Linked DNA regions of Cricetulus griseus. The protein of the gene in region 2 binds, or shares a complex with, the protein of the main gene of each other region. Links are inferred from orthologs where the notes say so. Each region holds a gene or a part of one and is shown on either strand. Other genes may lie near its edges.

What was found.
Region 1: Dhx16 (region 2) and Snrnp40 share a complex: the UniProt entries of both Homo sapiens proteins name them as parts of the minor spliceosome. The link is inferred for Cricetulus griseus from reciprocal best matches to the Homo sapiens genes DHX16 and SNRNP40.
Region 3: Dhx16 (region 2) and Plrg1 share a complex: the UniProt entries of both Homo sapiens proteins name them as parts of the minor spliceosome. The link is inferred for Cricetulus griseus from reciprocal best matches to the Homo sapiens genes DHX16 and PLRG1.
Region 4: Dhx16 (region 2) and Ppil2 share a complex: the UniProt entries of both Homo sapiens proteins name them as parts of the minor spliceosome. The link is inferred for Cricetulus griseus from reciprocal best matches to the Homo sapiens genes DHX16 and PPIL2.
Region 5: Dhx16 (region 2) and Cwc22 share a complex: the UniProt entries of both Homo sapiens proteins name them as parts of the minor spliceosome. The link is inferred for Cricetulus griseus from reciprocal best matches to the Homo sapiens genes DHX16 and CWC22.
Region 6: Dhx16 (region 2) and Rbm48 share a complex: the UniProt entries of both Homo sapiens proteins name them as parts of the minor spliceosome. The link is inferred for Cricetulus griseus from reciprocal best matches to the Homo sapiens genes DHX16 and RBM48.
Region 7: Dhx16 (region 2) and Eftud2 share a complex: the UniProt entries of both Homo sapiens proteins name them as parts of the minor spliceosome. The link is inferred for Cricetulus griseus from reciprocal best matches to the Homo sapiens genes DHX16 and EFTUD2.

What each region holds. Positions count from the first base shown.
Region 1 is NC_048595.1:22,665,019-22,668,923, forward strand, and holds part of Snrnp40 (U5 small nuclear ribonucleoprotein 40 kDa protein), read right to left. Parts: intron 3,687-3,905; coding exon 3,604-3,686; intron 2,233-3,603; coding exon 2,171-2,232; intron 768-2,170; exon of another isoform or gene 635-767; intron 1-634. UniProt on the Homo sapiens protein: Required for pre-mRNA splicing as component of the activated spliceosome. Component of the U5 small nuclear ribonucleoprotein (snRNP) complex and the U4/U6-U5 tri-snRNP complex, building blocks of the spliceosome.
Region 2 is NW_023276806.1:229,782,368-229,787,002, forward strand, and holds the start of Dhx16 (pre-mRNA-splicing factor ATP-dependent RNA helicase DHX16), read left to right. Parts: upstream 1-1,728; 5' UTR 1,729-1,902; coding exon 1,903-2,109; intron 2,110-3,358; coding exon 3,359-3,603; intron 3,604-3,707; coding exon 3,708-3,873; intron 3,874-4,323; coding exon 4,324-4,380; intron 4,381-4,635. UniProt on the Homo sapiens protein: Required for pre-mRNA splicing as a component of the spliceosome. Contributes to pre-mRNA splicing after spliceosome formation and prior to the first transesterification reaction.
Region 3 is NW_023276806.1:71,283,955-71,288,452, reverse strand, and holds the start of Plrg1 (pleiotropic regulator 1), read left to right. Parts: upstream 1-1,664; 5' UTR 1,665-1,809; coding exon 1,810-1,818; intron 1,819-3,344; coding exon 3,345-3,451; intron 3,452-4,498. UniProt on the Homo sapiens protein: Involved in pre-mRNA splicing as component of the spliceosome. Component of the PRP19-CDC5L complex that forms an integral part of the spliceosome and is required for activating pre-mRNA splicing.
Region 4 is NC_048597.1:72,241,767-72,245,671, forward strand, and holds part of Ppil2 (RING-type E3 ubiquitin-protein ligase PPIL2), read left to right. Parts: intron 1-65; coding exon 66-183; intron 184-3,488; coding exon 3,489-3,545; intron 3,546-3,905. UniProt on the Homo sapiens protein: Has a ubiquitin-protein ligase activity acting as an E3 ubiquitin protein ligase or as an ubiquitin-ubiquitin ligase promoting elongation of ubiquitin chains on substrates.
Region 5 is NC_048599.1:97,150,177-97,154,081, forward strand, and holds part of Cwc22 (pre-mRNA-splicing factor CWC22 homolog), read left to right. Parts: intron 1-350; coding exon 351-418; intron 419-1,365; coding exon 1,366-1,476; intron 1,477-2,194; coding exon 2,195-2,437; intron 2,438-3,905. UniProt on the Homo sapiens protein: Required for pre-mRNA splicing as component of the spliceosome. As a component of the minor spliceosome, involved in the splicing of U12-type introns in pre-mRNAs. Promotes exon-junction complex (EJC) assembly.
Region 6 is NW_023276806.1:221,964,819-221,969,240, forward strand, and holds the start of Rbm48 (RNA-binding protein 48), read right to left. Parts: upstream 3,148-4,422; 5' UTR 3,101-3,147; coding exon 2,990-3,100; intron 2,083-2,989; coding exon 1,892-2,082; intron 1-1,891. Other genes in the region: Pex1 (peroxisome biogenesis factor 1), read left to right, coding at 3,430-3,558. UniProt on the Homo sapiens protein: As a component of the minor spliceosome, involved in the splicing of U12-type introns in pre-mRNAs.
Region 7 is NC_048600.1:115,260,471-115,264,375, reverse strand, and holds part of Eftud2 (116 kDa U5 small nuclear ribonucleoprotein component), read right to left. Parts: intron 2,354-3,905; coding exon 2,187-2,353; intron 1-2,186. UniProt on the Homo sapiens protein: Required for pre-mRNA splicing as component of the spliceosome, including pre-catalytic, catalytic and post-catalytic spliceosomal complexes. Component of the U5 snRNP and the U4/U6-U5 tri-snRNP complex, a building block of the spliceosome.

The DNA.
Region 1 (3,905 bases), on a different chromosome or scaffold from region 2:
CCCCATTAGCTCAGGCCCTTCATTCATCCACCACGGTGGATAGTTGGAGAAAAGACCTAGATGAATTTATTTTTATAAATCTTTCAAAAAACGATAAATTTAAAACAATTTAAAAAAGATGCAATTATATAGGGGAGATATACCATCTCTATGGAAAATGATATAAAACTACTAAGAATGCTTTCCACTCGGTGAGAATGCAAACTCCTTTGTGTGTTTTTGTTTTAAAAGACAGAGTCTCGGACTGGAGAGATGGCTCAGAGGTTAAGAGCACTGACTGTTCTTCCAGAGGTCCTGAGTTCAATTCCCAGCACCACATGGTGGCTCACAACCATCCGTTATGAGATCTGGTGCCCTCTTCTGGTGTGTAGATATACATGGAAGCAGGATGTTGTATACATAATAAATAAATAAAACCTTAAAAAAAAAAAAGCCCACCAAAGCATTGGCATATAAATAAATATTGGCAATAAATAAATAAAATCTTAAAAAAAAAAAGACAGTCTCACTATACAGTCCAGAGTGGCCTCAAACTCTGACCTTTGCCTTAGTTTCCTGAGTGCTGGGTTACAGGCAAACAAACACCAGGAAAGTCTCCCTGGTCTATTTCCTAAGTTTCTGTTTGTCTGTTTTTTAATGTGCTCTAGGTATGAAACAGCTTTGGCCACCAAGCCAGGCATCAAACTAGGATGAACAAAGGATTACCATTTGCTTTGTCCCTAGCTGATAAAAGAATAACACCAACAAGGTGCCAAGGGGTAGGGGTGGGGTTAAATTTTCTTTTTCTCAATAGAAAATCTCTTAAACTCTTAAAGGTAGGCTTTCTAAGCTTCTGAGAGGCAAACCATCAATATAGCACTGTTTCCTTTAGGTAACCACTTGTCCCAGCCTGAATACTTGTCCAATTTTCCTGACATTAAACTTGTTTGGTAGAAAAAAGGACATAAAATTTTCCAAGCATAAGCCAGGTGTAGTGGTACACATCTTTCAAACCCAAGTATTTGGGAGGCAGAGGCAGATACATCGTTGTGAGTTCAAGGTCATCCTGGTCTACAGAGTGAGTTCCAGGACAGCCAGAGCTATATATGGAGATCATGTCCTGAAAACAAAACAAAACAGTTTTCAAGCATGTCCCCAAAGAGAATCCTGAAGTGTGCTAAAAGCTATGAGCTAGGGAGCAACCTGGTTTACAGGCCTCTACCACTGGGTCTCCAGGAGTCCCCATAAGCCCATTGTCCTTGGCCCCCAGAATCCCTACTGCACCCAATTTCCTCCCTAGTACATGAACAACAGCATCTGATGGGTATATTTTCTCCCTTGTCTCTCACTCACAACACAAGGCCTTGAACCAGCTTAAGTTTGCACATAAGAAAGCCTTGGCCTATTTGGCACAACAGACGACATGCAGCCCACTTCACTCAGCAATGCTGGCACTTTCTACTGAGCCCAGACCTGGCTCTGAATCATCTTCAACACTGGCAGCTACAACCCAATTTTGGGTTGACACAAAGGGTGGAATTTGACTGCCATCTCTGACCTAGGAATTCATTCTCATAATTGTTAGCAAGTGATTATAACAATTCAAGCATCAACTAGCAGTACCTGAGTTTACAGAGAATGTCAAGATGCACCCCCTGACTGCTGAGAGCAATTCATAGGGATATCCCAATATGCTTGTCTAAACGTACGAGGGGGAAATGCTAATAAAAGTTAGACATATGAAGTGTGACTACAGCAAAGAGCAATGTGCTATGTTAAGGAGACAAAGGGGGAGAGAGTACCAGGGAAAGGTCAGATATAGCAGTCGTTACTAGGAAGACCCAGAGTCTTAGAGTAGAGAGGGAGGTCTGAGAGGGAACCCGGGGTGAGTGAGGATGCGCAAGGGAGGTTGACAGTTCCTTGAGAGTGCAGCACTGGGATGGCCAGAGAGGACAGTCTCAAATGTATCGAATGGAGTAAAGCATGGCAAAAGACCAGGACAGCTGGGAGATTATGAGTTTCCAACAGATTACAACAGTCTAAAATGGAAACAGAGACAGACAACTCTGTTCAACACAGGCTTTAAGTCCTTCAGATGGCATCAAATATGTCTGTTGTCTTCATATCCCTGCATTAAATGTGAGACCTGAATAGCCACATCATTCTCTACCTTATACCCAGGAACCCATACCTGTCTGCTGAGCCAGCAGCTATCTTGCTTCCATCAGGTGACCAAGAACACCGGAGGAGGTTCTGTAATGAGCAGGAATGTACAGGACAGTTAATATGCCAAATTGCTCTTGCTGTACTAGGAGTCAACTGACTAAATTTTCTAGGAGACTGAGTGTCTCCCCAGAATAAACATCAGCTAATATAGCCCTGCTCAAAACAGCATGCTCTAGGCTGGGCGGTGGTGGCACACACCTTTCATCCCAGCACTCAGGAGGCAGAGGCAGATGGATCTCTGTGAGTTCGAGACCAGCCTGGTCTACAAGAGCTAGTTCCAGGACAGCCTCCAAAGCCACAGAGAAACCCTGTCTCAAAAACAAAACAAAACAAAACAAACCCACAAACAACAACAAAAACAAAAAAACCTCTCAGCATGCTCTATAATTTTACTTATTTTCCTTTAAATATTTATCTGTTATTTTATGTGTATTATTTTAGGTGTTTTGTCTGCAGGTATGTCTGGTGTGCCTGATGACTGAGGAAGCCAGAAGAGGTCGAATCCCCTGGGACTGGGGTTAAAGACAACGGTGAGCTGCCATGCAGTTGTCAGGAACCAAAGTCAGGTCCTCTGCAGGAGCAGCCAGTGCTCTCATCTGCTGAGCCAACTCTCCAGCCCACTTTGTAACTTTATACTACACAAAAACTAGATTCAGAAATGCTAACCCTAGTTATCAAGAACAAGCCCCACAACAAGACTTGGCTCCCTTTGCTCCACTTCTCTTGATCCTCATTACAACATTTAAAAATTTTATCCTATTTTTTTGTTTTTATTCTTTATTGCTTTATCTTGAAGAAAAACAAACAAAAAAAAAAAACGCCAAACCCAACAAAAGTAAGATTTGATTTATAAGGCAAAACAATCTCAGGGAACTCTCAAAAGAAAATCATTAATCTCTCTTAAATTCAATGACAGAAGAATCCTTTCCAAAAGAGCTGACTGGACACGTGAGGGTTTCAGAAAAACTCTCTTGAACTCAGGCCATTGTGATAACAAGAGGAATGGGTGTAGACCCAGGACTCTAAGAGCTGGCATCTGGGTAACAGCGATGTGAGCCCAGGGCCCACAGATACTGATTTACAGGGTTGAGATTCCAAGGAATAAAAAGCCAGGCTTGCCCTGTTAGGGAGGTACTGAAGTCAGAAGTCTTACCAAAGAGGACTGGCCCCAGTGCTATCTATCCGTGTGGCTGCCTTGTCCAACATGGGTGGGGACATGCTCCTGGGATCTGAGCACACGGGAGGCAGGAGCAGGAGAGAGGGCAGCTTCAATGATGCTGGTTACCAGACTTCACTCATTCTCAGTGGGTCAACAATTCTCTATCCTTAGTATCACTATAAAAGTTTCTTCAGATCAAATGGATAGTAAAATCATCCCCCGTGGCAGGTACCACTCACCTTTTCAAAGTTGTGCACATTTCCTTGAAATATCTTCACACATCTCTCTTTGGGAGCAAAGGGCCGGACATCCCAGACTCGCACTACAAAGCAAATCCAAACCAGTCAAGCAACAAACACAACTATGAGCCAGCAGCTTCCATGTCAGTAACAAATACTGTCTCCTTCATGAGGAGGACCAATACAACACAATACTAATTGCTAAGGCTCTTTTTAATCCCCCCTTTCTTTCTTTCTTTTTTTTTAAAAGATTTTATTTATTATGTATACAACATTCTGCTTCCATGTATATCTGCACACCA
Region 2 (4,635 bases):
GCGTGTGAGACCCTGACTCAAAACAAAGAAAAGGGGTTGGGGGGAGAGAGGTGGCTGGAGAGACAGCTTAGCAATGAAGAGCACTTGTTGCTCTTGCAGAGGACCCCGTTTCAACACCCAGCACGATGAATGGCTCCCCTATTACTACCGTTTCAGGATATCCAGTGCCCTCTTGAGGCTTCTGGGTGCTGTACATACTCGCAAGTAAAATGTTTATAGATACATAAACAAAAAACAGAAAGAAGGGCTGCAGAGACGGTCAGTGGTTAGGAGCACCCGCTGTTCCTACAGAGGACCTGGTTTTGGTTCCCAGAATCCACATCAGGTAACTCAGGCTCTCAATCGTCTTTAACTGCAGCTGTGGAGAGGCACCACATCCCGGATCTAAAGGCACTTTTCCACATACATGGTGCCGATACGAAGGCAAGCACGCATGCACATAAATAATTAAAAAAAAAAATCTTAGGGAACCTGCATAAGACCAAACTAGACTCCCTTATCATAGGTGACAATGGTGTGACTGGGACAATATATGAGGCCACTGGCAGTGGGTCCAAGATCTAACTCTAATGCACAAACTGACTTAGTGGAGCCCATCCTACGTGGAGAGATACCTTGCCAAGCCTAGACACAGGGGTGTGGGGCTGGAGAGGCGCCTTGGTCCTGCCTCAGTGAGATGATGGGACAGACTTAGTAGACCTCCCTGGGGAGGCCTCACCCTCTCTGTGGAGCAGATGGGAGGAGGGGGAGTGGAGGGAGGGGTGGAAAGGAGGGAGGGGGAACTGGGATCGGAATATAAAAAGTAAATTAATAATAAAAAAGAGAAAAAAATCTTTTATTTATTTATTTATTTTGGTTTTTAGAGACAGGGTTTCTTGTGTAGTTTTGGAGCCTATGCTGGCACTCGCTCTGGAGACCAGGCTGGCCTGGAACTCACAGAGATCCCCCTGCCTCTGCTGGGATTAAAGGGGTGCACCGCCAACGACCGGCGAGAAAAAAATCTTAAGATACCGGAACTCCCGCCCAACATACATATTTCTAGTAAGTAGCTTTAAATTACTTTTTAAAAATAGTTTTAATTGCCGGGAGGTGGTGGAGCACGCCTTTAATCCCAACAGAGACAGGTGGATCTCTGTGAGTTTGAGACCAGCCTGGTCTATAAGAGTGAGTTCCAGGACAGCCTCCAAAAGCCACAGAGAAACCCTGTCTCGAAAAACCGTGTGTGTGTGTGTGTGTGTGTGTGTGTGTGTGTGTGTGTGTGTGTGTGTGTGTGTGTGTGTGTGTGTGTGTGTGTGTGTGTGTGTGTGTGTGTGTGTGTGTGTGTGTGTGTGTGTGTGTGTGTGTGTGTGTGGTGTGTGTGTGTGTGTGTGTGTGTGTGTGTGTGTGTGTGTGTGTGTGTGTGTGTGTGTGTGTTTGGCGTTGGATTCCCCCTGGAGCTGGAGTTACGAATCGTTGGTTTTGAGCAATATGGGTGCTGGGGGAATCGAACTCGAGTTCTCTGAGCAATATCCCCAGCACCTTGTTCTATGCCTTGTTTCCTAAACCTTATTTCTCTTCCTTTTATCGCACTCTCTGGAAACGCTCTTTCTAGTACACAGGGCTGGTGCTGACCGAGCGCAACATCACCGGGTGGGGGCGGGCGAGCTTGCTGGGTGAGCATCGGGAAAGAGGCTGCGCGACTTGAACCCTCCCAGCCACCGTTAAGCTGCGGCCGGAAGAGCTCGACTCTTTCCGGGTTTGGCGGGTCTGGAAGCCAGTTGAGGGCTGCCCAGTCCGGCGCTCTGCGCTGGGAGACTCTACGGCCACCAGCGGTGCGGGGCCCGCGGCGCTGCAGATCGCTCCCGGCCCCGCCGCCGCCCTGGCTGGCTCGGCGGCTGCGCGCCCGGAGCGGGACGCGTCGCCATGGCGACGCCGGCGGGGCTGGAGCGGTGGGTGCAGGAGGAGCTGCACTCGGTGCTGGGGCTGAGCGAGCGGCACGTCGCGCAGTTCCTGATCGGCACCGCGCAGCGCTGCGCCTCGGCCGAGGAGTTCGTGCAGCGGCTGCGAGACACCGAAACTCTGGACCTTGGCGGGCCGGCGCGGGACTTCGCGCTCAGGCTCTGGAGCAAGGTGTGTGCCGTCCACCCGAGCTGATGTAGACCGCTCCACGCACGCACGCACGCACGCTCGTCTTTGGCCTGGTGATGGAGCGTAAGCTAGCAGTGTATCGGAGGATAGCCTGCAACTTTCAGTGTAGTGCACGGGCTGGCTTCGAACTTGCAGAGACACACAGAGAGAGAAAGACGGAGAGACAGAGAGCGCCTCCCATAGCAGAGAGACCTAGCACTCCCGCCCGGCTCTGCCAAACATCCACCTTTTGCCCTCTGTTACCCCAGGTACAGAGCTGTGGAGGAGACTTAGCAGAGAGGGCTGTGCAAGCATGCTTAAACCTAGGGTCCTGTTAGCCACGGTGAATACAGTGCAGCCCCCCCCCCCCCAGGGCTGAGGACGTATCTCAGTTGGTAGAGTGCTTGTCTAGCGTACAGTAAGTTTGGGGTTCAGTCCCAAGTACTGGGGGAAAGTCGCTGAGAACAGTGGAGCCGTGGGAATTAGCGATTTAGACATAGGATGGAGACCCGGAGAGAACCCTTGTTGCTCTTCGGGAGGACTGAAGTTCCCAGCATCCAGGTCTCTTGTGGCACACAGGTACCCATACACGTAAATAAATAAAAGATAAATGTGAAAAGGGAACTGGGTTGTAGAATGTAAACTACTTGAACTCTGGGCCTTTTTTTTTTTTTTTTAAATTCTGTTGTGGGGCTAGAGAGATGGCCCAGAGATTAAGGTCACTGGCTGCTCTTCCAGAGGTCTCTGATTCAATTCCAAGCACCCGCAAGGCGGCTCACAACTGTCTGTCACTCCAGTTCCAGGGGATCCAACACCCTCACATAGACACAATGCAGGCAAAACACATGCACATAAAAAATAAATCATTTAAAAAATATCCGTTTGGCCGGGCGGTGGTGACGCACGCCTTTAATCCCAGCACTCGGGAGGCAGAGGCAGGCCTGTGAGTTCGAGACCAGCCTGGTCTACAAGAGCTAGTGTTCCAGGACAGCCTCCAAAGCCACAGAGAAACCCTGTCTCAAAAAACCAAAAGAAAAAAAAAAATCCATTTGTGGGTGGATGTCCGAGGGCAACCTGTGGGTGCTGGGTCGCGCCCTCCACCATCGGGTAGTTTTCAATAATCATTTGCTAAACAGATGCATGGAAGGAAGTTCAGACGCTGAGGGCCCGATTGAGCAGAGAATGATGACGCCTGGTTTGAGCTCGAGGCTGAGGCAGGAGCTGCTCACAACCGCTTGTTTCCGACTCACAGGTACCACGGAAGGCTGTGGTAGAAAAGCCAGCTCGGGCAGCTGAGCGAGAGGCCCGAGCCCTGCTGGAGAAGAACCGATCTTATAAGTTGCTGGAAGACAGCGAGAGCGGGGAGGAAGCGGTGGGCAGCGATTCGAGCAGCCTCCAGAAGAAGCGGAAAAGACGGAAACACCTCAGGAAGAAACACCACGAGGAGGAGGAAGAGGACGAGGAAGAGGTTTCTGAGGCAGGGAAGAGGAAGACGGGGTAAGTCAGAACCGAGGAGAGAGGGAGCCGGGGCAGGTGGTTGGCCGTGGGGATGATACGCTTTCTCGATACCCCTCTTTGATGATGCGCTGGGCTGGGTTCAGGGACAGTAAGTCACCCACGGAGGAGAAGCCGGCCTCAGAGGATGAGTGGGAGCGGACAGAGCGCGAGCGTCTTCAGGACTTGGAGGAACGGGATGCGTTTGCAGAGCGGGTGCGGCAGAGGGACAAGGACCGGACCCGGAATGTCCTGGAGCGATCAGATAAGAAGGTGAAGAACAGGGCTGGAGAGATGGCTCAGAGGTTAAGAGCACTGACTGGTCCTCCAGAGGTCCTGAGTTCAATTCCCAGCAACCACAAGGTGGCTCAAACCACCTTGAGTGAGATCTGGTGCCCTCTGCTGGCCTGCAGGCAGAAGGCTGTATACATAACAAATAAAATCTTAAAAAAAAAAAAAAAAAGGTGAAGAACATTGCTAGGTACATCTGGATTTGGTTGCAGAGGTGTCGCTGGGAAGACAAGGGTTGTCGCTAGGGTTCCTGTGTGGGGAAACAGGGTCCTGTGAGCTTTCTGGTTAAGGGCCTCACTGCTTGGTGGAAATCACAGAGGCTCTTCACTGAGAAGGGGCAGTGAAGGACATTTGTCATTCTGAGGGGAATGGTCGTAGATGTGCATATCTTTTGGGCCTCATGACCCTATTTACCTGATTTCTTCTACCCAGGCTTATGAAGAGGCTCAGAAACGCCTCAAGATGGCTGAGGAAGACCGGAAAGCCATGGTGAGACCCCGGGTTCAAGAAGCAAGATCCAGGGCTGGAGAGAGATGGCTTAGAGATCAAGCTGGTCCTCCAGAGGGCCTGAGTTCAATTCCCACCAAAACAAGGTGGCTCACAACCACCTGTAATGAGATCTGGTGCCCTCTTTCTGGCCTGCAGGGACACATGCAGGCAGAACACTGCATACATAATAAATGTCGACAAAAGAAAGATTGATGGAGCGGTTGGCCATGGCGGGAAGGGCTGGGGAGAGAGTGT
Region 3 (4,498 bases), about 160 Mb from region 2:
ACTGAAGAATCACCGTCCAATGAAAATTAGCTCTGGAAAGTTGGAGGCCAAATGGAACTTCCGGCATAAACATCAGAACAGTGTGGCTGGGACACCTGTCCTCCTCAATAGGAGACAGCATGTGGCAGGGATGAAGAGAAGGAGGTCACTGTGTCTTTGGACAGGCTCTCTTTTGTTGACCTAGTAATGTCAGCTTCCCTTGAGCGTGTAGCTGATAAGACACATGAGCAGCAGAAACAACAGGGCATTTTCTTTTCTGATCAGCTACAGAGCACAGGAGTCATAGCAAGAACAAGATGTTCCTGGGCTGCTTTTATCTTGAGACTAGAAACACAAAAGTTTGGTGGTTGTCTTTGGAGTGCCAGAGTGGGACTACAGTGTCAGGATGATGACACTACAGGTGACCAAGAGTGAGCATGCTATCCTTACCCCATGCTAGCCCTATCAGACTCTTAAGCAATTTGAAATCTGCAAAGGAAGTAAGTAGAGCATCAGGTCCATTGGCTTGATTTTACATTCATGGCAGCACCGTAGAGAGAACACTCAGCCACTGATGTTCAAGAGTGATAGCATTTCTCTGCTTAATCATTTGATTCTCCAGTTAAATCTGTTAGGCCCACAGGTCCTTCCCATAATACCTGGTCCCACTTTACCTTTATCATTGGTCAACAGCAAAGGGTACACTATTTGAAGGAAGATAAAAAGATTTTTATTGTTGAGTGAGAATAGCTTGGTTAATGAGGAAGGGATTTCCTAAAAATCTGCATGATTGCTTTCACACATACAAATGCAGCATTCATATTTATATTCATAAGTAATTTGTCATGTTTCCTCAAAGGGGGGAAAAAAATCCTTTTCACCCTTATGAAGAGCCATAGTGACATCTACTGTTCACAAGAGGCAGCTCACGATGTTAGCTAGTGCAGGGACTCCTTCCTTCCTTTTTCCTTTCCTTTCCTTTCCTTTCCTTTCCTTTCCTTTCCTTTCCTTTCCTTTCCTTTCCTTTCCTTTCCTTTCCTTTCCTTTCCTTTCCTTTCCTTTCCTTTCCTTTCCTTTCCTTTCCTTTCCAAGATGTGGCCCTTTAGCCGGGCGTTGGTGGCGCACGCCTTTAATTCCAGCACTAGGAAGGCAGAGGCAGGCGGATCTCTGTGAGTTCGAGGCCAGCCTGGTCTCCAGAGCGACTGCCAGGATAGGCTCCAAAGCTACACAGAGAAACCCTGTCTGGAAAAAAAAAAAAAAAAAAAACCGCAAATACAAACTACATCAAATATTTTTACACAGAACAACATTTTACCTGGGTAAAAGACAAAACTTCAATACTTTAGCATCAGGCGCAATAAAATAAAAAGTTCTCTATCGTTTTTTAAAAACTGCTTAGGATCTCCTTGTTATTAATAAGCATTAAGCTTCCGGGAACAGGTACCGCCCCTAAGCAGGGCTTAAGGCTACCGCGCTCCCTCTGCTCCCGCCCTGCTCCTGCAGGAGCTCCAGCTTCTGCGAGACCCGCCCCTCCGCCTGGAGACTCCGCCCATTCCCGCCTAAGCCCCGCCCAGCTCCTCCCGGCGGAATTTAAGATTGGGCTCTCAGACTCGAAGCTCCACTCAACTCCGCCAAGTCCTGCCCTCGACCTCTAAGACAACGCCCCTCTCCCCTCTCCGCGCGAGGGTGGCCAATGCGCGTGCGCGGGTGGCGTCACATCCGCCGACAGACCCCCAATCTCCGGAAGGAGCTGCAGAATAGTGGCGGCGATTTCTGCGTCCATCATTTGAGTTTCTTCCCTGCTGGAGGAGTGAGCTAACCCGGGGCGACATGGTGGAGGTAAAGTAACGCCTGGGGGTCGTTTATCTCTGGAGCTTTGCTTTGCCCACGAACGTGCAGGGTGAACGTGCTGGGAAAATAGGGAAAGGAGCTTTAGCCAAGGTTGGTGGTCCCGGGATTTCGGGGCGAGAGAAAGGCCAATGACATTTCGAATCCGAGGTTCGGTCGGCGGGAAGCCTGAGAGAACCTTGAAGTCCCTGTGTGTCCCTGGGAGCTGGCGCTGTCCTCGGAGGCGGGCCTTCCGTGGATGGGATGCTGGTCCAAGCTCTTGTCAGTTACTGTTACTTAGGTTCTACTGGAGTAAAGCTTGCCCTTCTTCTCTTTGGTTTTTCGAGACAGGGTTTCTCTGTGTAGCTTTGGAGACTATCCTGGCACTCGCTCTGGAGACCAGGCTGGCCTCGAACTCACAGAGATCCGCCTGCCTCTGCCTCCCGAGTGCTGGGAATAAAGGCGTGAGCCACGAACGCCCGGCTAAAGCTTGCCCTTCTTAATTTTCTGTTTGTTTTTTTTTTGCATATCCCAAGCGTTTCTTAATTTCACCCACTGCATTTCAGCTCCCCTGCAGTCTTCCTAATCTAGCCCAGCATCTTTTGCTGGGACTGATGAATTAGCTTCTAGCTGGTCTAAGGGCTGGTGCTTAGCGAACACACTGAAGGAGTGTGTGGTTCGCTTGTCTAGCATGCGCAAGGCGCTGAATTCTGTCTCCAGTACCACAAGCGTAAATAAAATATGAATTGGTCCTGCTTTTCCTGCTTAAACCTCCTTTCTGGTTCAGTATTACTAAAATAAAAATGTAGGTGGTGACAGCAGTCTGAACCTCACCGGCCCTTGATGCCTCATTTTAGGGAGAGGGATTGGAGATAGGGTTTCTCTGTGTAGCCCTGGCTTACTTGCATTCGTTTTGTAGACCAGCCTGGCCTCAAGCTCACCTGCCTCAGCCTCATGAGTGCTGGGATTAAAGGCATGTGCCACCACTGCCTGTCCTTGAAGCCTCATTTTGTACTACAGCCCCAAATCCCACAGCTTTCACAACTGTGCTGCAGTTCTGGCATTATTTGAACACCTTTGCAGTGGCGTTTTCCCTCAGTTTGCATGGTTCATACCTCTGTTCCGTGTAAGACTGTCTCCCTTTCTGTTTAAATACCACCTCATATAAATCTTTCATAATTATCATTTCTATTTTTTCTGTGACTCATCCCATTACCTGTTTTCATAGAGCCTCCCAAAATGTGGAATTGTTTTCCTTATTTTTGACTGTTATTTCTTGAGCACACTACATGCCAGTTACAGCACGAGCTCAGTAAATGTTGATTAAACAAATTACTATCCTAGGCTTCATTCACTTGCTTTGCCCAAAGCTCCAGCCAGACAGGAGCCTTCTCATCTTTGTTGTTGACTGCTGTACTTTGTTACAGATTTGTGTGGAGTGTACATCCTTCTGTGTATTTAACATAACCATTCTAGTGTGGATAAGAATGTGTGCTTCACTTGCAGTTGGATGTGTGATTTTGGTTGTTTCTTTACAGGAGGTGCAGAAACATTCTGTACACACACTGGTGTTCAGGTCATTGAAGAGGACCCATGACATGTTTGTATCTGATAATGGAAAACCTGTGCCTTTGGATGAAGAGAGGCAAGTTTTTATTCCTTTTTAGTAGTAAAATATTTGAACTTTGAACTTTTAATAGTGGTAGAATAGCGCAGAGAGAAGGTGACCGTTTGTTGTTGTTGTTGTTGTTTTTTTTTTTGAGAGAGAGAGAGAGAGAGAGAGAGAGAGAGAGAGAGAGAGAGAGAGAGAGGGTAACTTTCAAAGGTCTTAAAGTGGTACTGACACTCATAGGATACTTGGGCAAGTGGCTTTTAGTCATAATATCAGTAGAGTTTACTTGTTATTTTTCTATTTTATCTTTTTTTTTTTTTTTAAAGATTTTACTTACTTATTATGTATACAGTCTTCTGCCTACATGCCAGTAGTGGGCACCTTAGATGTGCCCTCTTAGATCACCTTAGATCTGTAATGAGATCACCTTAGATCTCATTACAGATGGTTGTGAGCCACCATATGGTTGCTGGGAATTGAACTCAGGACCTCTGGAAGAACAGTCAGTGCTCTTAACCGCTGAGCCATCTCTCCAGTCCCTTGTTTTATCGTTTACAGTAAAAATACCATTAGCTAGTCATAGAAATGCCCACTGTAATGGTTTTAAGGAGAACAGCCCTAATAGGCTCATGTATTTGAATGCTTGGTCTGTAGTGGGTAGAACTGTTTCAGAAGGGTTAGAAGTATGTCACTGGGGTCGGCTGTGATATTTCAAAAGCCCACACCATTCCCAGTTAGCATGCTCTTGCTCCCCCAACACCCATGCTTGTGAATCAGATAGAAGCTCTTAGCTGTGCTCCAGCAACATGCCTACCTGTCGTCTTATGCACCCCAGTATGATGCTCAAAGACTAACCCTCTTGAATTATGATCCCCAGATTAAATACTTGGTATGTAAATTACCTTGGTTATGGTGTTTTGCCACCGAAGTAGAAAAGTAACTATGTTACCCAGTAATTCAGAGCATTCCTGTTAGGTTATTTTATTTTTAATGAATCACTTTGAGTTTTCAGCTTCTTGCTCTGGAGCCTTGATGAGCTGAAATTGTACTTGCCCAGTACCTACTCCCATCTTTACTCCT
Region 4 (3,905 bases), on a different chromosome or scaffold from region 2:
GTCGCTGTCTTCTGCTTCTGGACAAGGCTCTGTGGCTGACCACTGACTCTGCTCTTCTGTTCCAGGTGGAGAGTCCTACTGGGGCAAGCCTTTCAAAGATGAGTTCCGCCCCAACCTCTCACATACAGGCCGTGGAGTGCTCAGCATGGCCAACTCGGGGCCCAACACCAACAAGTCTCAGTTGTGAGTCCAGCTTTTCTTGCTCAGCTGCTAGGATGGTTTGCAAAGCGCCTGGCGTTGTCCCTAAAGGTTGTGCTGGGCCCAAGTCAAATCCAAGCAAGGGGGTGTTCAGTCAGGTGGAGCACAGGCGTCTCCAGGAAAGGAGCCCAAGTCAGCTGGTAGAATAGTGGTCATGAGTGGGTTCCCAAAGGCCTCTTGGGGTCCAACAGGAAAACCAGGAGTGTGTGGGTACCAGGTGCCATGCAAGGTTGCTGGTCCAGTGCTTTGGGAGGAGGTATTCTGAGGACAAAAGGCCAGGAAGAGGTACTAAGGCTCTGGCTTATCAGAGCCCAGTGTGTGTGGTGGTGGGTGGTAAGGCTCTTGGATGTCTGGTCTTGTGTTTTGGAATAGGTTTGTATTGTATTCTATTCTTCATCAAATCTTAATCAAATAATGTGGCTTAATTCTCCTGGATATGTCTTTTTTTTTTTCTTTTTTGTGCTGGGGTGTGAACCCAAGGCTTTGTGCATGCTAAATACATGTTCTACCATTGAGAACTGTCTCCATCCAGGGTATATCTTTTATCTATGGAGTATAGTTTTGTTATTTTCTTTTTTAAAAAATATTTTGAAACCGGTTCTCATTATGTAGTCCTGGTTCTTGTGGAACTCACTGTGTACACCAGGCTGGTTTCTGCCTGTCTCTGTATACTGGGTGCTGTGTTTAAAAACTTTCACCATCAGGACTGGAAAGATAGCTCAGTGGTTAAGAGCACTGGCTGTTCTTCCAGAGGATGTGGATTCAATTCCCAGCACCCACATGGCAGCTCACTACTTTCTATAACTCCAGTTCCAGGGAATCTGACACCCTCACACAGACAATGCACATAAAATAATAATAAAAAAAAATCTTTAAAAAATGTTCTGTCCATTTCTTCTTTAACTATCTTGTTTATGAAAGGTATCTTTAAAGGTGGCTATCATTTAAAAAAAGACAAAACCATGCCCCATCACAGCTGATTACAGCTTATTTTATGTGAGGGTATTCATGCCACAGTGTGCGTGTGGAGGTCAGATGACAGCTTTGTAGGGTCAGGACTGTCCTTCCACCATGGCATCCAGTCATCACATCCAGGCTGCCAGGCCTAACACAGCAGGTGTCTTCACATGCCAAGCCAGCTTGTCAGCTCAGTTTTGTCATTTTCTTTATGTGGATCTTCTGACTTCCTGGATAATGTTATACAAAGGAATTTTAGTATTTGTTGATTTTTTTTTTTTTTTTTCAAGGCAGGGTTTTTCTGTGTAGCCGTGGCTGTCCTGTAACTCCTCTGTAGACCAGACTGGCCTCAAACTCTCAGAGTCTCCTGCCTCTGCCTCCTGAGTGCTGGGATGAAAGGTGTGGGCCACCATGCCAACTTATATTGATACAAAGTTTCATTATGTAGCCCTGGTTGGTTGTACTAGAACTCTGCCTTGGAGTACTGACATTGCAGGTGTGGGCCATCACACAGCTAGTCAAATCCTCTTTTTTAATTTTTTTAATATGCATTGGTGTCTTGCCTGCTTGTATGTCTGTACGAGGGTATCGGTGTTGGATCTTGAGTTACAGACAGTTGTGAGTTGCCATGTGGGTGCTGGCATTGAATCTGGGTCCTCCAGAAGAGTAGTTAGTGCTCTTTAACTGCTGAGCCAGCTCTCCAGCCCCTACAATCAAATCTTAAAAAAAAAAAAAAATTAAGAAAATTTTTTAGCCAGGCGGTGGTGGCACATGCCTTTTATCCTAGCATCTGGGAGGCAGAGACAGGCGGATCTCTGTGAGTTCAAGGCCAGCCTGGTCTACAGAGTGAGTTCAAGGAAAGGCTCCAAAGCTACACAGAGAAACTCTATCTTGAAAAACAAAACCAAATTTTTTTAATGTGTATGGGTGTTTTGCCTACGTGTATGTCTGTATACTGCATGTAAGTTTGTGCCTGATGCCAGAGGAGGACAGAAGAGGGCCTGGTCCCTGGAACTGAAGTTATAGGTGATTGTGAGTGTAAGTACTGGGAATAGAACTCTTGTCCTGGAAGAGCAGCCAGTGCTTTTAATTGCAGAGTCATTTCTCCTAAGTTTATATGAAGAGTTTCTTTGTAGATTTTTGAACTTATCAGAAGAGGAGACATCTTCAACTTCCCATGTGCACATCAGTCACATTGTCACTGGGTGTTGGAGGTAGGCACATGTGTGTCCTGCTCCAAATGAAATGTGATTTTGTAGTCTAACATTTGTCAGGATAGGTGGCTCTGTTGTCAGAGGTCTAGTTTTTAAATCTGTCTCTAGTCATGTGACTGAGCTGTTGCTGCTTTGTATGGCTAGGAGAGGTGTGCACGTAGAGTCATTTTCTTTTGGCACGGGCTGAGTTTGTACCCTGAAAGAGCTGCGCTCACTTTTGTTTGCTGAGCCCTTTCTCCAGGACATGTGACAGCTTTCCTTTGTCAGCATTTCCTTACAGTCTCTTCAAAAACTTGAACAAAACCTAAATATTCCAGTTGCATTTTTGTTGTTTTTTTACTTGCCTCTTTTTTTTTTTTTCCAGGTTCATTTCATTCTTTTTCTAGCTTCCTTTATTATGTTAGAAATTCAAGAGAGCTAGGTCTGATCAATTCAGTCATCCTTGGTTCCATAGCATAGCCAATGAGCCCTTGTTCCAATGGCAATAACAGGAGTTCAGCTAGTGTGAAGGCTTAGACTGTGCATAGGTGTGGGCTCCATGACTTGCCTGGTGACCTTAGGAGTGCCCTTGCTTGCAGGGTGATGCATCTTCATTACTCACTGAAGGGTCTCTGTGGGCTGTCAGGATGAGGCTTGTGTCCTGTTGTCACAATAGGGCTGAGTTCATGTACCACTTTGTGTAGGGACTGCACTGCAACCCATCCCATAAACTTCCTGCTTTCCATAGTATTTATTTTATTCAGGGATGAGGGCTCACTGTGAGTCCCCACACCACACCCAGCTGTACTTTCCTCCTTTTGTCTGATGTCTTCCAGCGTTCTGCTGTCACCCACTTATAGGCTATAGTCTAGGGCTCCCTCCAGGCTGCACATACATGGCCTGTTTACTTCACCCCTAACCATTGCCTCCTGAAGATAGTTGGATAGCGAGCTCAAGCCTCCACTGTCTCCTGCTTGGCTCTCATGGGATGTTGGCAGCCGAGCTCTGGGATTTCTCCAGAGGTCTGGATTTACTTGGGAAAGGGCAGGTGGCTTCCACTGAGGAGCAGTCGTTGTTACAACTAGAGTATGCTGGGTGGCCCAGCCTGCTGCTTCCCTGACCTCCATGTGCTTTCCCCAGCTTCATCACATTTCGCTCCTGTGCTTACCTGGATAAGAAGCACACTATCTTCGGACGGTAAGAGCAGATGCTGTGCATGTTCGCAGTGCAGTGTGGACCTGGGGATTATCCTCATGCAGTCCCCGGTGAGGACTGTGGGTATTTCTGTGGAGGAAGGTTGGCTCTTCAGGCCTGTGGAGCCAAGGAGAGGAGGCCCAGGCGGCTCTAGCTCCTCTTCCTTCTCAGGGCACCTTTTTGGGTGTCTGAAGCACATTCCCCTTTCTCCTCAGCCCATAGTCTGAGGGTCAGCAGATTTTCCTAAAGGACACACTCTGTGATGATGATTCAGTTACAAAGTTATGGGGGGAAAGAGAGCTAGGTACAAAGGATCAGTTAGTTCCTAGTCAGCCTGGATTATTTAAGACCCTGCCTTAGCAA
Region 5 (3,905 bases), on a different chromosome or scaffold from region 2:
ATTTTAAGCATGAGTTAGTATAACATGAGTTAGTCTTGTTAAAAAATGTTTTGAGGGCCAGAAAGCCTTGCTATGCTATGTAAGCCTGACAGCCTGGGCTCAGTCCCTGGAGTTCATGAAAGGAGGGAATCGGTTCCCAGATTGTCTTTTGACCTCCACATGTGTGCCATGGAGCATGTGTGCCCACAGTCTCTCACACATACATCATAGACATTCACAGGATAGTATGTGAGATAAAAATTTTAAGTAATTTCTAAAGTACTGCTAATTTGCTGAGACAGATATTATGTATGTATTTTTAACATAATCAGTTTTGAAGCATTCCTTCTTCCTTCTTTTCTCTTTGGAAGCACTCCTCTGGTCACGACAGAAGGGAGAGCCACAATTCATACCACCGGAACTCCTCTCCAGAAGACAGGTAACTGCTCTGTGTGCCAAGTGTGAATTTTGTGTTTTCATCAAGAAACTTAGTTCTCTGATTCTTCATTTTAAGGTGGACATTGAAGTGCTGCTTTTGTTGTTCTGGCTCATGGATACATTCACACAGCTTTTTATAGCTAAATTTTTATTTACATCATAGCATAATTATGATAAAATAAGCAATCTAGAAATAGTACCAGTAATGTGCATCATGCATTCTTATTAGCACTACAGCTGTGTCCCTTACTAAGTGAGGACCATTAAAGTAATTCCGAAAGTGGAATTGTGCACTTCATTCCTACTCCACTCTGCCAGGGTCTCCCAGGCCCTTCACTTAGGAACTTGTGACCACTTACTACCCTCTCCAGTCACATCAGACATACACAAGTGTAAGGTAATTGTAAATATATCTGTAAAACCCAAATTATATTACCATGTAGGTTATATATTTAACTTCCCTTAATGGTCTCTGACTTTATTGAGTTTGAAGAGTCAAACTGTAGATGTAACATGATCCATCTTGTTTGTCTATTCAATGTTCCCAGCACTGCAGCTTCCAGAACAGCATTCAATAATTATAATGCTTGGAATAGAGTCAAATAGAACAAGCAGTGATTGATGCTGGTCTAATTTGTTCAGTGTAGCTCCAAGGAGGTATTTGTAAAGTAGCCTCTTGCTGCCCGATATGTGTAGTTTCCAGATTTATCCCTGTGTGAATAAAGATGAGTATATTGGGTTAAGTTAATTCCAGGCATCGTTTTTGCTGTGTCCATGCTGGAAGCTTTTGTAATTCAGACTGGATAGGTGCCAGCACAATGAGCCATTAGTTAAAGCACTTCATTATGATGTTGTGCAGTCGTACGTTGTTTGGCATCACTAATATCTGACTTTCCAAGTCTAACAAAGTTGTTTTCGATGAACAACTTGGGTTTTCTTCTCTGTTAGATATGCAGAACAAGAAAGGTCCCCCCGGGATAGAGATTACTCTGATTACAGCCGGTCAGACTATGAGCGTTCAAGAAGAGGGTATTCTTATGATGACAGCGTGGAGTCACGGTGAGTGTTGGGGATCTTAACTGCAGAAAAGTAAACTTTTCATCGTGTACATGGTACTTGTTTTGTTTTGGAGACTGAGTCTCACATATCCAACTTCTGTCTACCTTCTGAGCTTCGGGATTACTGTCAAGCCCAGTTTGAGTGCTGGGGGTCTGACTCTGATTTTGTACATGTTAGTATGTACTCTGTTAAGTTACTCCGCAGCCTGAGTTTCCTTTACTTGTGTAATAGAAACGAAGACTATAGCAAACTCATTTCTTTCAACTATGGGCATGCTGGATTCACTATTTCTTAACAGCGTTATCCTGGTCTTGATGTCCATGTTCAGTTTTGCAGTACATATTATTGTTAAAGATTGTTATCCTTCTCATTTTGGTTTTTCAGCAGGGTTTCTCTGTGTAGCTCTGGCCTATCCTGGAACCCTCTCTGTAAACCAGGCTGGCCTTGAACTCACAGAGATCAACCTGCCTTTGCCTCCTCAGTGCTAGGATGATAGGCGGGCACCACCCCTGCCCAATTGTCATCCTTCCTCTAACCAGCTTCCAGACTAAAGCTTATATAAAGCCTTGAGCCCTGGAATAAGGGATCTTTTTCTCTGTAAGGTGTTACTTCACCACTCTGAACCAGTTTCATTTTCTGTGGTCTTACTCATTCTATGTGTAGTTCATTGTAAGAATGATTTTATGCTTTGTCCACCCCCCCCCACCCCATTTTACAGAAGTCGAGACCGAGAAAAACGAAGAGAAAGAGAAAGAGATGTGGATCGGAAAAGGTCTCGGAAATCTCCATCTCCTGGAAGAAGGAGCCCAGAACGAGCAGTAACCCAGAGTTCTACTCAGGAGGAACCTAGCATGAAGAAGAAGAAAGATGAGCAGGATCCGCTGCTCACCCGAACTGGGGGAGCATATATTCCTCCCGCAAAGCTCAGGATGATGCAGGAGCAGATCACAGACAAAAACAGGCATGGTGATGTACTGCATCTCCAAAACAGAGATAGCCTCATTGAACAAGGGGTAGAGTAGTGTAATTAGTGTCAGCTGTTAAGAATGTACTCGGTTTACTGTGATAGAGACCACAAATTACAATATCTTGTCTTTTTGACTTCAGAAATTTCTTTTGAACATTGTACGCTAGTTGCTCTGATATTAATTCATAACTTTTTTATGTTTCTCTCTCTCTCTCTCCTCTGTGTGTGTGTGTGTGTGTGTGTGTGTGTGTGAGAGAGAGAGAGAGAGGGAGGGAGGGAGGGGAGGGAGGGAGGGAGAGAGAGAGAGAGAGAGAGAGAGACTTTGAGTGTTGAGTATTAGTTCTCAGGCACTGTCTTTTATTTATTTACTTACTTTTTGGAGAGTGGGTTTCTCAGTGGCCTGAAACTTGCCAAATAGGTTAGGCTGGCAGGCCAGCAAGCCCCAGAAATGCACGTGTCTCTGTATTGCCGTATCTATTACTAGTGTGTACCAGTGTGACAGGCATTTTTTACATGGACTTGGAGATTGAACTTCCGTCCTTGACAGTGATCTTTGAGATGTAATATTTGGGAGAGTTTTAGCAATGACTTCCATTAATGCAAACTTCATCATCATCATAAAGGCAGCATTGGAAGAATTAGTGAGAAGTATTTACTTTTCCTGATCCAGTCCAAAGCAGATTATTCAGTCAGGAAAAAAAATGTTATTAATTGAATTCTTGCATCTAGAGGTACAATAGGCAGGGGAAGAGTTAGCAACATATGGGATTTTAAGCAGTTCTAGGAGATAATTCATATATGGTGGAGGTCTGTTCATGGTCAGAAGGTACAGTAGAAATGGAGGGGGAGTCTGTAGGTTTTCCTTTGAGTTGACCCATGATAGGGTGGAAGGACAGCTCCTGTGTTAGGAAAAGCCATAGTGCTTGATGTTTTCCAGTTTCCTAGGAGGTTGTGCTTACATGCTTGCAATATCTTACTAAGTTACAGACATATTTCTCTAGATATGGCTGATACCTAGGTGTGTGCAGTAAGCAGTTATGAGCTTGACTGACAGAGAATTTTGAAGCAACAAGAAAGTATTACTTGCAAATGTGCCTGTCAGTCTGCCTCTTATCCTCATTGCTTACTGGCAGTTTTAAACAGTGTCAGGGACCTAATAATCCACCAAGCACTGTTCACACTGCTCTGCTACACAGGGATTCTATAGGTTCCTAGAGAGGATTCAGGTAGTCCGGTCACAAATCTGGACTGGGGAAATGCATTTAATTTTTATTAATCCCCAACTAAATTTTAGCATCTCTTTCTATTAGAAGTATAACTATAGTGTATACTTCCAATCCATTTGTTACTGTGAGATACTGTTTATGGCCATTCGACTTGAAATTAAAATCAATACTTGGCCTCCTACCACTTCTTGTTATTTCATGTCTGAAGACACTCAGAGCACTCTGTATCAAGCTGC
Region 6 (4,422 bases), about 7.8 Mb from region 2:
ACCACATACACACAAAAATAAAAGAGAAAGAAATAAATTGTTTTCACTCAAGAGATACTGAATACCTATTCTGAACCAACACTATAATAAGTAATCAAGTACTTCTGTTATCTACAGATAATGATTAATTCTTATTGAGATATTACCCCATGCAATGCCATATACCTCATAACCAACTTACAATAAAACCAAGGCACCAGGAAATTTATAACCGGGCCATGTTCCTACATTCATCTATAAGACTAGGATTCAGTTGGGATGTCTGACTCCATAGTCAACTGTATCAGGTCCTGTGGAAATACAAAAGCACACTAGTCCATATGCCTTCCTAACCATGAAGAGTTGGCCAACTGGAGAGAAAGGCACACAGCCCTTTGAAGTCAAATGCTTTAGTGGTGGGCTAAGTAGCATATAAAAGAAATATGAGGGGCTGGAGAGATGGTTTGGTGATAAGAGCACTTGCTGATCTTGCAGAAGAGCAGATTCAAATCCCATCACCTACCTTGGGTGGCTCACAACCCCCTGTACTCCAGCTCCAGGGAATCTGAAGCCGTTTTCTACTATGAAGTTACATCAATAGCAAAAGTCAGACAAAGATACACTTTAAATCAGGTTACTAATTAAAAAGAAAAAAAAATGGCTGACATGAACTAGGGAGAGTGCTCAGTCACAAAAGCACTTGCATAAGCTCAGTGCCTAGGTTGGAATCCCTGGCATCCACATAAAAGCTGGGCACTGCTGTATGCCTACAATCCTGGTGCTGGCAAGGGCGAGGTACAAGGATCACTGGTACTTGACAGTCAACCAGTCTAGCTGATGAGCTCCAAATTCAGTGAGAGATCCTGTCTCAAATAAATAAATGAATAAAACAGAGCGCAGTGTGGTGGCACATGCCTTTAAACCTAGTAGAGTCAGAAGGAAATTTAAATTTTAAGTTTTAAGTTTAGCCTGGTCTACCTAGCTAGTTCTAGGCTAGCCAGGACTACACATTAAAACTTGTCTCAAATAAATAAATAAATAAAAGTTGGAACACTGAAGAAGGCAATCAACATTGACCTCTAGCCCCCCCCACACACACACACTCACACTCCTTCCCCCCAAAATAAAGCATTGTTGACTTCACCTTATTGGAATACAAGAATTATGTCATATGTAAGTATTAAAAAGAAGGTGATTAGCATAGAACTTTAACAATAAGAACTGCCATTGCTAATATTTACTCCTAATAGGGAGTACATAAATTATTTCATTTCATCCACAGTCAGGGAACCTCAAGAAGCAGACCTTTTTGCTGTGTGGATTTTAAGAAGAAGAAAAATGTGCTTATCAGGATTTAAAACACTACCAAGTAATGAGGACATAGGGCTGGAAATTTGCTTCAAATGTAATTCTGAATCTACCGTACTACTGGTTCAAAAACTGTGAAGCACAGATATGAGACGATGGAAACAGCTTTGTATTTGTAAAGTCAGCCTTTTAAAAAAAATTTTAAAGATTTTATTTATTTATTATGTATACAGTCATGTGCCTGCATGCCAGCAGAGGGAACCAGATCTCATTCAAGGTGGTTGTGAACCTCCATGTGGTTGCTGGGAATTGAACTCAGGACCTCTGGTGGTGATAAACACCTTTAATCCCAGCATTGGAGATGCAGAAGCAGGCTCTCTCAGCTTGAGGCCCGCCTGGTTCCACAGAGTGAGCTCCAGGGCAGCCAGAGCTATGCAGAGACCCTGTCACGACCCTCTAAAACAAACAAAAACAAACAAACAAACAAACGGGAAGATCTAGGGTGATGAGTGTTTGTGTGACATGGATATGTCTGGGAAAACCCCAGGGCCGAAATGACAGCAACAGGAACACAGGGTATAGCTACTGCTTAATTTGTACACACCTTGCACTTTGTAATTTCACAAACTTGATGAGATAAACTTCTGTAAAATCTTCTGCTGGGTATTCATCTAGAGCGTTATACTGTTCAATCGCACCGTATAGAGCAAATCGCTCGACTAATTCCTTCATGGCTCCCACTGCAGGGACTCCCTGTATTAATAAGTACTGGGATTCCAAATTGATTGTGTATACCTAAAAAACAACAACAACAAAAAACCCTCAATCAATAAATGTACCTCGCAGACAAGCAAGCCTATGGCAAATCTGTCGCTCTGGGAGGAGGAGGAGGAGGAGGAGGAGGAGGAGGAGGAGGAGGAGGAGGAGGAGGAGGAGGAAGAAGAAGAAGGAAGAAGAAGAAGAAGAAGAAGGAAGAAGAAGGAAGAAGAAGGAAGAAGAAGAAGAAGAAGAAGAAGAAGAAGAAGAAAGAAAGAAGAAGAAGAAGAAGAAGAAGAAGAAGAAGAAGAAGGAAGAAGAAGAAGAAGAAGAAGAAGAAGAAGAAGAAGAAGAAGAAGAAGAAGAAGAAGAAGAAGAAGAAGAAGAAGAAGAAGAAGAAGAAGAAGAAGAAGAAGAAGAAGAAGAAGAAGAAGAAGAAGAAGAAGAAGAAGAAGAAGAAGAAGAAGAAAAGAAGAAGAAGAAAAAAAGAAGAAGAAAAGAAGAAGAAGAAGAAGAAAAAAAGGAGCTTTGAAAGCAAGAAGAAGAAGAAGAAGAAGAAAAGAAGAAGAAGAAGAAGAAAAAAAGAAGAAGAAAAGAAGAAGAAGAAGAAGAAGAAAAAAAGGAGCTTTGAAAGCAAGAAGAAATACTCTGGTCAATTCCGCCTGTAAACACACACGCAGAACTGTCGCTCCCGGCTAACGGCTAACACAGGCCCCCTGAGGGCGCCTGGCTACCCCAGTCAGCGGGCGCCAGTGCGCGCGCTGAGGAAGCGCTCCTGTCAGCTCGACGGCGCGGAGCGGCGAGGAGCGCAGCGCTGACCTCCGGTCGGTCCCGGGGCCTCCCGCGGGGAGAGACCCCTCTGTGGCGGCGTCCCCGTCAGGCCCTCCTCACCAAGGCCGCCCCCGCCCGGGGGCCTGGGAACGCGAGGAAACCGCAGCCGCCCTACCTTGACGGCGCGAGGGCGTCGGCCCTCCCGGTACCTGGCCCGCGAGTCACACACGGCCGTCTGCACGTGGTGATCGAAAACGCTCCCCGGCTTCCCGTCACTGGACGCCATGCTGCCAGCGGCGACCCCCAGCGCCACAACAACATCCGCCGGACGCGCTCCTCCTCCTCCGTGGCCAATGAGAGGGCAGGGTGGCTGGCGCGTGCTTGGATTGGCCGGGCAATCGACGCCATCGACGATCGTTTCCTGGGAGCGCGAACTCGGTCCTCCGTGTGCCGCCCCCTCGCGTCTCGGAGGAGCGACGGGAGGGTGACGCCGGCGGGGCCGGCGACGAGGGGGCGGGGCCGATCGAGCGGCCGATCGAGCGCCAGCCCCGGGCTCCGGCGGACGCCGCGACCTGCGCGGGAAGCGGGCGGGCTCGGGGGAGCGGGGCCGGGACGATGTGGAGCGGCGATCGCTCGGCGGCTGCGGGCTCGGGCGGGGCGGTCGTGACGGTGGCCTTCACGAACGCTCGGGACTGCTTCCTCCGCCTGCCGCGGCGCCTCGTGGCCCAGCTGCACCTGCTGCAGGTAACGCGCTGTCCGGGTGGGGGCCGGGCGCCGCCGGGGTCCGCCCGGGCCGGGCCTGGTCCGTCCCCGACGGCGCGGAGCGTGTGAGCGCCCCCCCCCCCCCCGCGGCGCTGCACCCACCCCCTGCGCGGCTCGGGCGGCCCCGGCCCCGGCCCCGGGCTTCCCTCCCAGCCCTCCGCCGCAGCTCGGGTAAAGCAGACTGAAAAGTCTGGGATTCTTTGCGAAGCAGCCTCGCTCTCGGCTGCAGAGCTCTAGAGGTCTCCGACCCACGGGCTTTCGGAAAGCGTCGTCCTGCCACAGAGGCCTCCTTCCAGCCGCTGTGTAGATTACGGAGGTTTCCAGTTCGTGCCCAAGAAGGTTAATAGGACGGCAGCTCTCCCGGCTTAGGAGAGAACTACGCAGGGGTGTGCGGGGAGGGGAGGAGCAGGCGATGGAATTATTCACACCTCACACCTTTACACAGGGGTAACAGGATTACTGGAACCTCAGCGAACTGTCACTGTCCGGATGCCGTCATTATGGTGTTCCAAGGTGGAAATACAGCACGCGGATTTTCTTAACCAAGAGTGAGAGGCAAATAGGTTCTCATGGGGGGGGGGGGAATCGAAAATTAGAATATTTGAAATCTTCTAAAATCTGGCATGCTGCCAGACTACTGGTTCATCAAAGAGGTATCCAAGAGTTTGAAATGACTTCAAGTAGTTCAACTTTCTTTCCTCTTGAGCTGCTTCTATCTTGCTGTTAAAATCCACCTATCAAAACACATCAATTTCATCAGAATCAGTTTTATTGTTAGTTTATCTTACCAAATAGACTTTCTTTTTTTTAACTGTCTGATGAGCTTTCTTGGAAAGAAATCAGTCA
Region 7 (3,905 bases), on a different chromosome or scaffold from region 2:
AATGAATCTAATGTGACCAGAGAGGGACACATTTAGGAGACATCACTGCCCCAATACAAATGGGCATATAAAGGGCTGGGCCAGCTTGCCCAGCACTCACGAGGCCCTGGGTTTGAACCCCAGTACCACATGAACTAGATATGACAGCTTAGGGCAGGAAGATCAGAAGTTCCAGGTCATCCTTGGCTCTGTAGAAGTTCCAGGCTAGCCTGAGCTATAGCAGACCCTGTCTAGGGGTGGGGGACATGCAGGTAAGGACAGGACAGATAAACAACACTGAGAAAAAAGAGAAACGGCAGATTTGCTCCTCTTCGCTGTCACTCTCTTTACTCTGTTTGGCTTCTTGTTTCAAAAATTCTGAAACTTTCATTTCACTATTTTGCAGAGTGCATAACCCAGACCCTGCATATAGTAGCAAGTGCTCTCGGATGGAGCTACACCCCAGACCTAAACTTTGCAAACAACTTGAGTCATTCGGAAGGCCAGGAGTGGAGGCACTGGCCTGTAATCCCAGCATTTGGAAGGCTGAGGCAGGAGGCCCAGGGGCTTAAGGAGTTAGATGGCCTGTGCTGGGTTCTCCAGACTCACAGAATACCATATCCTACAGCAACTGTGCTAACATAGGCCTCAAAGCAACTTACATGTGTAATTCTAACTAAATCTTCCATCTTCTTATGAAGCAGATGCTTGCAGAACACACAGTAAAGTTTCTTCATTTACACACCCTGTGTTATCAGTAAGACAGAGCAGCCAACATCACTCAGCAGCAGGTGCCATATGGCAAGGGAGCTGTACCAACTAGCTACTTAATTTCTTTTAACATCCCAATAGGCAATTCATTTGCTTAGTTAAAAAAAAAGTTCTGCTGACTCATTTATTGATTGTATGTGTGTATGGCATGTATGTGTGGGGTGTCTATAGAGGTCAGAGTGTGGGGTCCGTTCCGTCCTTCCATCTTTATGTAGGTTCTGGGGATTGAATACAGGCAGTTAGGCTTGTGCAAGTCCTTCATCTGCTCAGCCATCACGTTGGCCCTCTTTGTTTTATGAGATAGTGCCTCACTCTGTAGCCCATGTTGACCTCAAACTCATAGTAACTCTCCTGCCTCAGCTCCTGAGTGTCAGGATTATTGGGGTGGACCATTATGCCCATCTTATTTTTTTTTAATTAAATTTAATTATTTTTGTGTATGTGGGTACACACACCCACAGAGACCAGAGGTTGACACCGAGTGTCATTTTTTATTATTATTCTCCACTTTGATCTTTGAGTCAGGTTCTTTCACTGAACCTGGAGCTCATCAATTGGCCAGACTGCCTAGCCACGTGGTTTCCCTGTCTCCACCACACTGTGCTGGATCACAGATGGGAGGTACCATCCTAGCTTGTTCTATGGATTTTAGGGACCTGAACTCAGGTCTTCATGAAGCAATCACTTTACTCACCAAGCCATCTACTCAGCCCTAATGTGAGTTGTTGAGATAGGGCCCCTCCATGGTCCTCATGCCAACCTAGAACTTGCTATGTACTCCAAACTAGCTTCAAACTTCTAATCCTCCTGCCTTGACCTCCTAAGTGCTGGGACCATCGGCATATGCCACCACACTGTATCCGGGGTTGTTTGTTTGTTTGTTTGTTTGTTTAATAGAAGCAAAAATGACCTTTGGGGGCTGAAGAGAAGGCTCAGCAGGTAGAGCAGCACATTGCTCTTGCACAGGACCTGGGCTCAGTTCCCAGCACCCACATGGAGACTCACAGCTCTCCTTAACTTTAGCTTTAAGGAATCTACTGTTTTCTTCCGACTAGTGTAGGTACCAGACATGTACACGGTGTACAAACATATGTGCAGCTAAACATCCAGATATCTAAATAAACAGGTAAGTAAATAATGAGCTTTGGTAATCGCCAACTTCACATGGCTGGCAGGTGGTAAAGGTGAGACTGCTTTAGAGTCTACTGACTACAGAACCAGGGATGTGCTAAACCGCGTGGCTGGTTCAGACACTGAACTGCTGAGGAGAGGCTTGCAGGCAGTCCTGCAGAGACCCGACATGTGCTGTTAGAACTGACAGGATCACCCACATGCCACAAAGTGAGGGACTCCCAGAAGTCTTCAAGGGTAAAATTAAGATTTATAAAAGCCAGACTCTCCTAAGGACAGGAAGTCCACTCCCAGGGGTCTTATACCTTATTAATCCATTGACCTCATCCACAATGTGTCGAAGTTTGTAATAAGCATCTGTTGGAGGCAGCTTCAGCTCCAAGATCAGCCGGTCGATTTTGTTGATGCACACGGTGACTGCTAACCTCTCCTGCACTGCATGCTTAATCAGCCGCTCTGTGTTCAGCATCACCTGAGAAACACAGGGCTCTGAAGCGGGAAGTGGGTACTAAGAGTAGAGAGCACATCTATAGTAGGGGGGAAGGCGACATTCGCAACACTTTCTGTACAAAGGGGAAATGGCCTGGGCGTGAAGTGTCAGCTGGAAGCATCATCCGCAAGGCAGACTCGGGGCTGTGAAGCTGAGCACAGCTAGGTAATACCCACCCACACGTCTGTCACTCTTCTGCACACAGGTGTTGAAAATGTCACTTGTTCAAACTGAGTGTCGCTTTGTCTGTCTGAAATCACGACACACGGGAAGTAAGGGGATTGCTAAAAGTTTGAGGCAGGCTAGGGCTACAACCCAAGACCTTACCTCAAAAAAATAAAACAACAATAACAAATAAGAAAATGGCTTGTTTTCTTATTTGTTATTGAATAAGGCACCTTAATTTCTTTTGAAGGGGGCACCTACACCTTAATTTCTTTTGAAGGGGGCACCTACACAGCAAGACTAAAAAGCAAATAAACACAACGGCCATGCTGGGACCAAAGCTTCTCAGCACTGAGAACGCTAGGAAGAACTTACTGATGAGGAAGTATTAAAATGAATGCTGTGACCCACCTCCAGCCCCTTGTCAGTGATCCTAAGGAATAAACCCAGAGCCTTGGACATTTGAGGAATGCTGCCCCTGAGCTAAATCCCTTCCCTGTTTTAGTCTCTTCTGAACCAGGGTGTCACTACCTTGCTCAAGCTAGTCTCAAATTTGCTGTTTTTCTGCCTTGGCCTCCACAGTAGTTAGGATGATAGGGTATATGCCACCATGCCTGGCCGAACAAGCCATTTTCTTATTTGTTATTGTTGTTTTATTTTTTTGAGGTAAGGTCTTGGGTTGTAGCCCTAGCCTGCCTCAAACTTTTAGCAATCCCCTTACTTCCCGTGTGTCGTGATTTCAGACAGACAAAGCGACACTCAGTTTGAACAAGTGACATTTTCAACACCTGTGTGCAGAAGAGTGACAGACGTGTGGGTGGGTATTACCTAGCTGTGCTCAGTGAATGGGCCTGGAGGCAAAGCATCAAAGCAGCAATGAACACCCCCAGATAGTGGTCTCCACTATATAGGAAGCCAGAGCTTGTTGAAGAAATGGCTGGTTTTACGACTAGGGTAGGGCAAGTGTGTAAGAAAATAAGCAAGAACTCAAAACATGATGAGGTAGGTCAAAAGGACGAAAGAGCCAGTTACAAAGAACTCTTGATAGTCAGAGATGAGTCAACTAGACCATCAAGATATATGAGAATACGCTGTGTGTGGTGCACACCTCTAATCCTAGCATTTGGGAGGCAGAGGCAGGCAGATCTCTGAGTTCCAGGTCAACCTGGGCTACATAATGAGATTTCTTCTTCTTTTTATTTTTTCCCTCAAGACAAGAGTTTCTCTGTGTAGTTCCTGCTGTCCTGGAACTTCTGTAGACCAGGCTAGCCTGGAACTCAGAGATCCACCTGCCTCTGCTTCCTGAGTGCGAGGATTAAAGGCATGTGCCACCCCTGCCTCTTTTTAACTTTAAAAATCACATTTATTT